Cricetulus griseus: one gene and its partner. The main gene of each other region encodes a partner of the protein of the gene in region 2 in a complex. Links are inferred from orthologs where the notes say so. Each region holds a gene or a part of one and is shown on either strand. Other genes may lie near its edges.

What was found. The genes of interacting proteins can lie anywhere in the genome.
Region 1: the proteins of Cfap36 (region 2) and Arl3 are in contact, whole or in part, in a crystal structure (PDB 4ZI3), measured with the Mus musculus proteins. The link is inferred for Cricetulus griseus from reciprocal best matches to the Homo sapiens genes CFAP36 and ARL3. Residues at the interface, in NP_080016.1 of Mus musculus: Glu44, Glu45, Ser46, Lys47, Leu48, Thr51, Glu52, Lys58, Val61, Glu62, Leu65, Glu76, Phe79, Gln80, Cys83, Thr84, Ala88, Lys89, Leu97, Val100, Leu101, Ala103, Glu104, Asp105, Phe106, Thr107, Ile108; in NP_062692.1 of Mus musculus: Leu3, Leu4, Ile6, Leu7, Arg8, Lys9, Leu10, Lys11, Ser12, Arg19, Lys35, Glu40, Pro47, Thr48, Gln49, Gly50, Phe51, Asn52, Ile53, Lys54, Trp66, Ile74, Tyr77, Ser80, Tyr81.

Annotation. Positions count from the first base shown.
Region 1 is NC_048596.1:14,998,126-15,002,353, forward strand, and holds the start of Arl3 (ADP-ribosylation factor-like protein 3), read left to right. Parts: upstream 1-1,284; 5' UTR 1,285-1,436; coding exon 1,437-1,439; intron 1,440-4,228. UniProt on the Homo sapiens protein: Small GTP-binding protein which cycles between an inactive GDP-bound and an active GTP-bound form, and the rate of cycling is regulated by guanine nucleotide exchange factors (GEF) and GTPase-activating proteins (GAP).
Region 2 is NW_023276807.1:78,070,661-78,073,546, forward strand, and holds the end of Cfap36 (cilia- and flagella-associated protein 36), read left to right. Parts: intron 1-1,187; coding exon 1,188-1,327; intron 1,328-1,488; coding exon 1,489-1,638; intron 1,639-2,086; coding exon 2,087-2,188; 3' UTR 2,189-2,254; downstream 2,255-2,886. UniProt on the Homo sapiens protein: May act as an effector for ARL3.

The DNA.
Region 1 (4,228 bases), on a different chromosome or scaffold from region 2:
TCTACAGTGAGATCCAGGCCAGCTAGAGTTACATAGTAAGACGCTGTCTCAAAACAACAACAACAAAATAACAAAAAAGCCCTGAAAACCCATTCAAGAAAAATCTATCTTTGTTTCAATATTAACCAGGTTGGTAGGAAGAGGGTGAAGCCTGAAACCCAGATTAAACTGTTAATAATATGTAGCACTTCCTTTGGGGCAGGCGGTGTTCTATGGACTTGACAGGTATACATCAGCGACTTCTGGAGGTACCATCTCTATCTAGACCATCAGCTGTTAGAAAAGTTCTCTGTTACTGGTATAAACTACTCTGCGGCGAGGAACGCAGTGTAGCTCAGTGGTAGAGCGCTTGTCTATCCTGCTCAAGCCCGAAGGTAGACAGCACTCCTCTCCCTGGGCCACAGTGTTTACAAGCAACACTGTAAAACTGTTTGCAAGTTAGTTCGTGTCCCAACTCTTATCACCTACAATAACTGACTTCTAGAGTTGAACGGAAATAAATTCTGTATATAAAGATTCCACTAGGAAGAATACAATTTCTACGAAGACAGATTGTACCAGTGTCGAGAACCTGACCTGGCACAGAGGCAAAGGGAACTTTCCAGAGGTCCTGTGCATGGGAAGTCGCGCTTGCAGTCCTACGTGGCTTAGCAAAACTCGGCGGATCCGGACGATCTAACACTCCCGCTGTCAGCAGACCTCGATGCTAGCGGACCGGTCCCCAATCTCCCTATCGCCCTCTCTCAAGCGATCTCCCCGAACCCAGCAGAAACCACCTATCCTGCATTCTAACGAAACCGTGGAGACCGTGGCGCTGCCCATAGCTCCGGTACCCCAAAGCCTGGCACCCGAAGACAACGGGGGTCAGAGGCGAGGAGCCCATTGGAGCCGTGGTGCGTCCCACCCGCCATGCGGCTCCTGCAGAAATCCAGCTCGCAGTGCCTGGCAGCCCCACCAGAGCAGAGGCAGGCTCCCTTCTGCGACGCGGAGACTGGAAATACCTGCACTTGAGTTCCCTTACCTGGTCCCAGAGGGATGCACCCTGAGACAGCCACCAGGTTAGCGGACTCGGAAGGTTGAACTGGAGTACCTCGGCTAGGCCGGGGACCTCCCCCTCACACTACGCCCCCTTTCCTGACCAATCACAGGCCACAGGCTCCCGCCGGCCACGTGGGCGGTCTCGTCCCTCCCGCTGGGTCGCATGCCAGCCCGCCCTGGCCTTCCGCCGCTCCCAAGACCGCCTGCGCAGTGGGCGAGCGCCTTGGCGCGCTTGCGCACTTTGGGTAAAGAGGAGTAGAACCCCGCCCCATCCCGCTGCTCTGCTTCTCCGCTGTGCGTGCCAGGGACGTCAGGGGCGGCGCCGCAGCAGTTACCCCTGGTAACGGGGGAGGCAGAAGGAGGAGGAGGCGGAGGAGGAGGAGGGACTCGGCTTGAGGATGGTGAGTGTGGGGGCCCCCGATCCCTCTGGAGCTGGCCAGTCACCCCCCACCACACCCTCGCCTCCTGTCCCCAGGCCCAAGGCAGGGCGCTGCGCTTAGGGGACGTAGGATGGCGCTCGCCTTGCTCACTAGGGTTCTAGATCGGTTTCGGGGGCGAAGGGGTACCCCAGAGATGGGCCCTGGAGAGAGGCCTAGGCCTGGGAGGAAGGAGGGATTTGCGATGGGTCCGAGGCTTGGGGAAGGGACTTGCAGAATGCTTGGCTGGCGGGGAAGGAGCCTGGGCTCCATCTTCACTCCGGGCACTGGGATGGGATGAAGGCGGCTCCGGGGAGGTGAGGAGATCAGGCCAGACACACAGGCTTAGCTCTTGCTGCAGAGTCGACTTCTCGGCGCCTCGGGACCGTAGGATCCGTCTGAAACCCGGACAGAAGTGGCAGAGGCGCGATGCTACTGTCTTTGAGATCACCCTGGCGGCACCAGGGAGATGTAACCTAGTTTTCCTAGATGCTCGCCGTCTCTGAGTGAGGTGTGCTGGGACCAAGTCCCAGGACAAAAAGAGATGCGGCTGGGAATGGATGCCTGATTCACGTCTCCGTGGTGGGTGCGCTCCTGCTGAAAGTTCTGCAGGGTCTAATGGTTGTTGATGAGCGATTTTTCTTTCCGTATCTATTTCATGTTAATAGAAGCAAATTAGCCTCCCGTGTCTTAGCATTTCCTTCAAACTTGTTGCAGCGTCCTTTTGCATGTGGCCGCACAAAAGGTCTTCCTTCCAGTAAGGCACCTCAAACTAAAAAGAATGAGAAACTGTTAAGAGTGGGCGTCAGTTTGAAGCAAGCCTTCTCTCCGTTAGCCATAATTATAAGGCTTTTCCAAATTGCAAGTTACGGTATGTGACGGATTTAACCGGGGACACTCCGTTCCTTGTTGATTTTTTTAATTGTTATTTTATTTAATGTGTATGGGTGTTTAGCCCGCATAAATTTTTTGCACCACGTGTGTGCCAGGAAGAGGGCTTTGGTCTCCTGGAATCGGAGTTAGAGATGGCTGTGAGCCAGCATGTGGATGCTGGGAAGTGAACGCTTCCTCTGGAAGAGTGTCAGTATTGCTGAGCGACTATCCAGCTCTCCTTGTTGATTGGTATGCTGTAGATAGAGAGTAAAAAATAAAATTAAGGGGAAATGAAAACTTTTAGAGTTAGTCAAAGAAAACTTAAGGCACTTAGAGCAGGTTGGTTGGCTTACTGACTGCTATGAACCAGTTTCTTTTGCTTCCCCCTACCCCTCATTATTTTTGTGAAAATACTGAACTACTTCTGTTGTCTTAAGAAGAGAAGGCTAGGGTATAGTTCAGGTGGTAGAGGTTAGTTTAGCAGGCACAAAGCTCTGCATAAAACGTAATATGGTAGTGCCTGCCCAGCACTCCAGAGATGGAAGCAGGAGCTTCAGGGCTACATAGTAGCCAGGCAGGCAGGAGTAGGTACATGAGACCTGGTCACAAAAAAAAAGAAGAAAATAGGTGTCCAGGAGGAAAACGACACTACACATCTACTTTTGGTCAGTTTTGTGTGTGTGTGTGTTTGTTTTTCAAGACAGGGTTTCTTTGTGTGGCCTTGGCTGACCTAGAACTAGCTCTGTAGACCAGGCTGGCCTCAAACTCATGGTCAAATTACTAAACAAGCAAATTTTGACCAAAAAAATAAATAAATTTACATTGTCAAATTGTTAAGTAGAATTATTTAATCTAAGGTTGTCAATCACATCTCACACTTGTTACATTTACAGTTATTTCTAACCTCAGGCTAAACAGATTTTAACAAGTGTTTTCTTTTTATTATTTGTACATGAGCTGTCCATTTACAGGCTAAGTTTATCTTAATAAATGAGTACAGATATAAATATTTACACAGAAAATAAATGGATTTGAGAAAGTGGCCATGGCTTCTCACACCTATAACCTCCCCACTTGGGAGGTAGAAGGAGGCGGGTCAGGAATGCAGAGCCAACCTTGGCCACATGAGACTCTGTCTCATAAGAAATAGATAAATTTAAAACTAATGAAAATAATTAGAACTGCGATTTGAAAGGCATACCGGGCTGGGTGTGGTGCCTCATGCTTATAATCCCAGGACTCTAGATGCTAAATTAAGAGGATCACCATGAGTTAAGAGGCCATCCTGGGCTACAGTTAGTTCCAGGTCAGCCTCAGCTACAGGGAGACCCTGTTCCAAATACCATTCCCTTAAAAGAAAGCCACATGCCAGACCAAGAGAAAATGAGATTTCTTATAGATGAGAAACATCAGAGTTGTCTATCTTTCTTCAGTTTATCAATTGAGTGGACTGTTTCATTTCACAATTGCTTAACTTATAATTATAGGTCATAATAAGTAAACCACTGCACATGTTTCTAGGTGCAAATTGGCACTGTACATAAGTATATAACAAATTGACCTTGTACATATAATATTATTGGATACCACTAAAGTATTCAATGCTCAAGAATAAATCTAAAAAAAAAAAAAAATTGACATGTCTTAGTGTTTTGCCTGAGAGCATGTATGTGCACTCTGGGAAAGCCTGGTTCTCAAGGAGGTCAGAAGAGGGTGATGGATCCCCTGGAGCTACAGTCAGCTGTGAGCCACCGTGTGGCTGTTGAGAATTGAACCCCAGCCCTCTACAAGAGCACGTGCTTTCTTTATTTTCTGTTTTATTTTCTATGTGTGAATATTTTGCCCACATGTGTGTATGTGTACCACATGACTCTGTGATACCTTCATAAGTCAGAAGAAGG
Region 2 (2,886 bases):
TAGTATCCGTGGCAGTACCACAAAAGTGACCCTTGTCAAGTTTGTCTGGTTATACATATCTGGCAGGATTATTAATCCTTTGGGATATGTACCATGGTCTTTTCTCATAATTTTACTTCTATCATTTTAATGTCTTTCCATGTCTTACTGTTTTCATTCATAGCCCATGTACTTAAGTTAAAAATGTTTTTACCTTTTATTTTTTAGTGTGCATGTGTGGCTTATGTACTTCCTCTGTTGCTCCCCACTTTATTGAGATAGGGTCTCTTAACTGAACCCAGAATTTAATGACTGGCAAGGCTGGCTGGCCAGCAAGCCTCTGAGATCCATTTGTCTGTCTCTGGGGTTGATGTCCTCTGCCAGGCGTAGCGTTTTAGATGAGTGAGGGGACCCAGAATAGGGTTCTTGTCTCTCTCAGCTCTTTTCCCACTGAACCATCTCCTAAGCCCCACCCATCAAGAATGATGATTTACTTATGTGTGTGTGTGTACATGAGAGACCGAGAGATCTGATTGTGTGTATGTGTATACATATATATGTACATGTATATGTGCCACTGTGGTCTGTGTGCGTGTGGTCAAGAACAACTTGCATGCTGGGCGTTGGTGGCGCACGCCTTTAATCCCAGTACTCGGGAGGCAGAGGCAGGCGGATCTCTGTGATCCTGCTCTCCAGAGTGAGTCCCAGGACAGCCTCCAAAGCTATGCAGAGAAACCCTGTCTCAAAAAACTAAAGAGAGAGAGAGAACAACTTGCATGAGTTGATTCTGTCATTCCTCCATGTGGGTCCTGGGATCAAACTCATGAGAAACTTTTGAGTCATCTTGCTAGGCTTGTAGGGTATAGACTACAGAAGAAGCTAGAATATTAATCATACCTTAAGGTACAGTTAACAAAGTACTGAATGCTTATATGTGCTTTGCAGTTTCTCCTTGCTTTAGAAATGGTTATACTTTCTTAGTGCATTGGTAGTTATTTTTAGAGTGTAATAGAAAACAAGTCATTGCTGTTGACAGCTAGTGTTGTATGATAGAAAATCAGTTTCAAAATTGTTCCCCAAGTGTATAGTCACATACTCAGAAGCAAGTTTGGAAACCAAAGATGTTATTTGTGAAATATCTATGTTTTTCATAATAGTGTTGTTCTTTAAAATATAATATTTTAATTGGTCTCACTGTTTACTGCCAGAAGTTAAAGTGCATTTTGCTAATCAGTCAGTACAACCCATGGCAAGAAAGATGGAGCTGTTGCCTGAAACTTCCTCCCTCCCACAAAAAAGTCTGAAGATCCCTGGTTTAGAACATTCAAGCATGGAAGGACCAATAGCAGTAAGTAAGAGCTAACTTAATGTGAGCAAGCACTGTGAGCCATGCAGTCATACACTTTTGTCTTTTTTAGGGTCTTGGAACTTAAAACTGATCCAGTACATGTCTTTGTCATGTGTTGTATAGATCTGAATATAGATATTTCCTTTTCTTATCTGAACCAGAATTTGTCAGCACTTGGAACAGAAGAGTTACGGCAACGAGAGCACTATCTCAAGCAGAAGAGAGACAAGCTGATGTCCATGAGAAAGGACATGAGGGCAAAACAGATCCAGAATACTGAGCAAAAAGGAAAGCCTTCCAGGGAGGTGGAGGTATGGCTAGCTTTAATGTGTTAATTGCAGACCAGGGGAAAAGTTTTTAGTTTGTGCAAGAAAGTCTCCGATGAGTTTTGTTGCTTGATCCACTCAAATTAATCATCTGCTAGTGAAACAGCTGCTAAGTCTTCTCTCGGGACAGTTTAAATGAGAATTCTCTAAGGTGGAAATAATTATTTCATTATATTTTTGTTGACTTTCTAGGTTGAGCTCCTTAGAATCAGTGGTCTGTCTTACCATTTCAAATGTTTGCAGTGTTCTGCTCATAACCCATGCTTCCCAATGCTTCTCCAGGAAGAGATCTAAGAAACTTGGTTGTTGACTTTTAAACATTTTACTGAAAATGCCTTTAGTTTTTGTTCTTTTAGAGAGAGCATGTTGAGAATTTTAGATATACAAAGCTAATTTTTAATTGTAGCCAATTTCTTTTTTTTTTTTTTTAAAGGAAATGACAGAGAAGCCAGAAATGACAGCAGAGGAGAAACAAACATTACTAAAGAGGCGATTGCTTGCAGAGAAACTTAAAGAAGAAGTTATTAATAAGTAATATGAAGAGATAGCAAAACAGAAGCCCACATTTTCTTAAAAATAAATTATTTAATCCTTAAACAAAGACTGTTAGTTTCAAGCAAATGCAACTATAAGCTCACTATTATTATTTTAAACAGGTAAAGAGCAAGAGGAAAGGCAGAAATTTCTGCATAGAACCAGGTATGGTGGTGCATGCCTATAGTACTAGTACCAGGACCCTGGAACAGGAGGGTCAGGAGTTCAAGGTCATCCTCAGTGACACAGCAAATGGGGAAAACAGCTTAGGTTACACAGACCTGTCTCAAATAACTCAAATAAAGAAATAATAAAACAAAGAATTGGGTGCTTTCTCTTCAAAGGGGGTCACAGAAAGAAATTAGTTGATAGTGCATGCTTTCATTCTTACTAGACACAGTTTGTTAGACTGACAGGGTCCCGCTTTAATAGGGCTATAGAAGGCCCAAGGAACAGTGTTAGAAGAGGAAAGTGCAGTGATAAGACGGCAGGCTGGCTGTGCTGCCTTGAGCAAGTAAGCTGTGAGCTGTCAGGTGATTTCAGAGAAGAGGGTATATAGTAGTTTAGAAACATGCTTTGACGCTGAACTGGAACATGTGAGAGGTGGCAGGAGGTAAGGTTAATGAGAAAATCCTTGTGGGGAACTGGAAACTTTGATTTTTAAAGGTGTGGCTGCTGTAGCAAGACAGACAGGTGTAC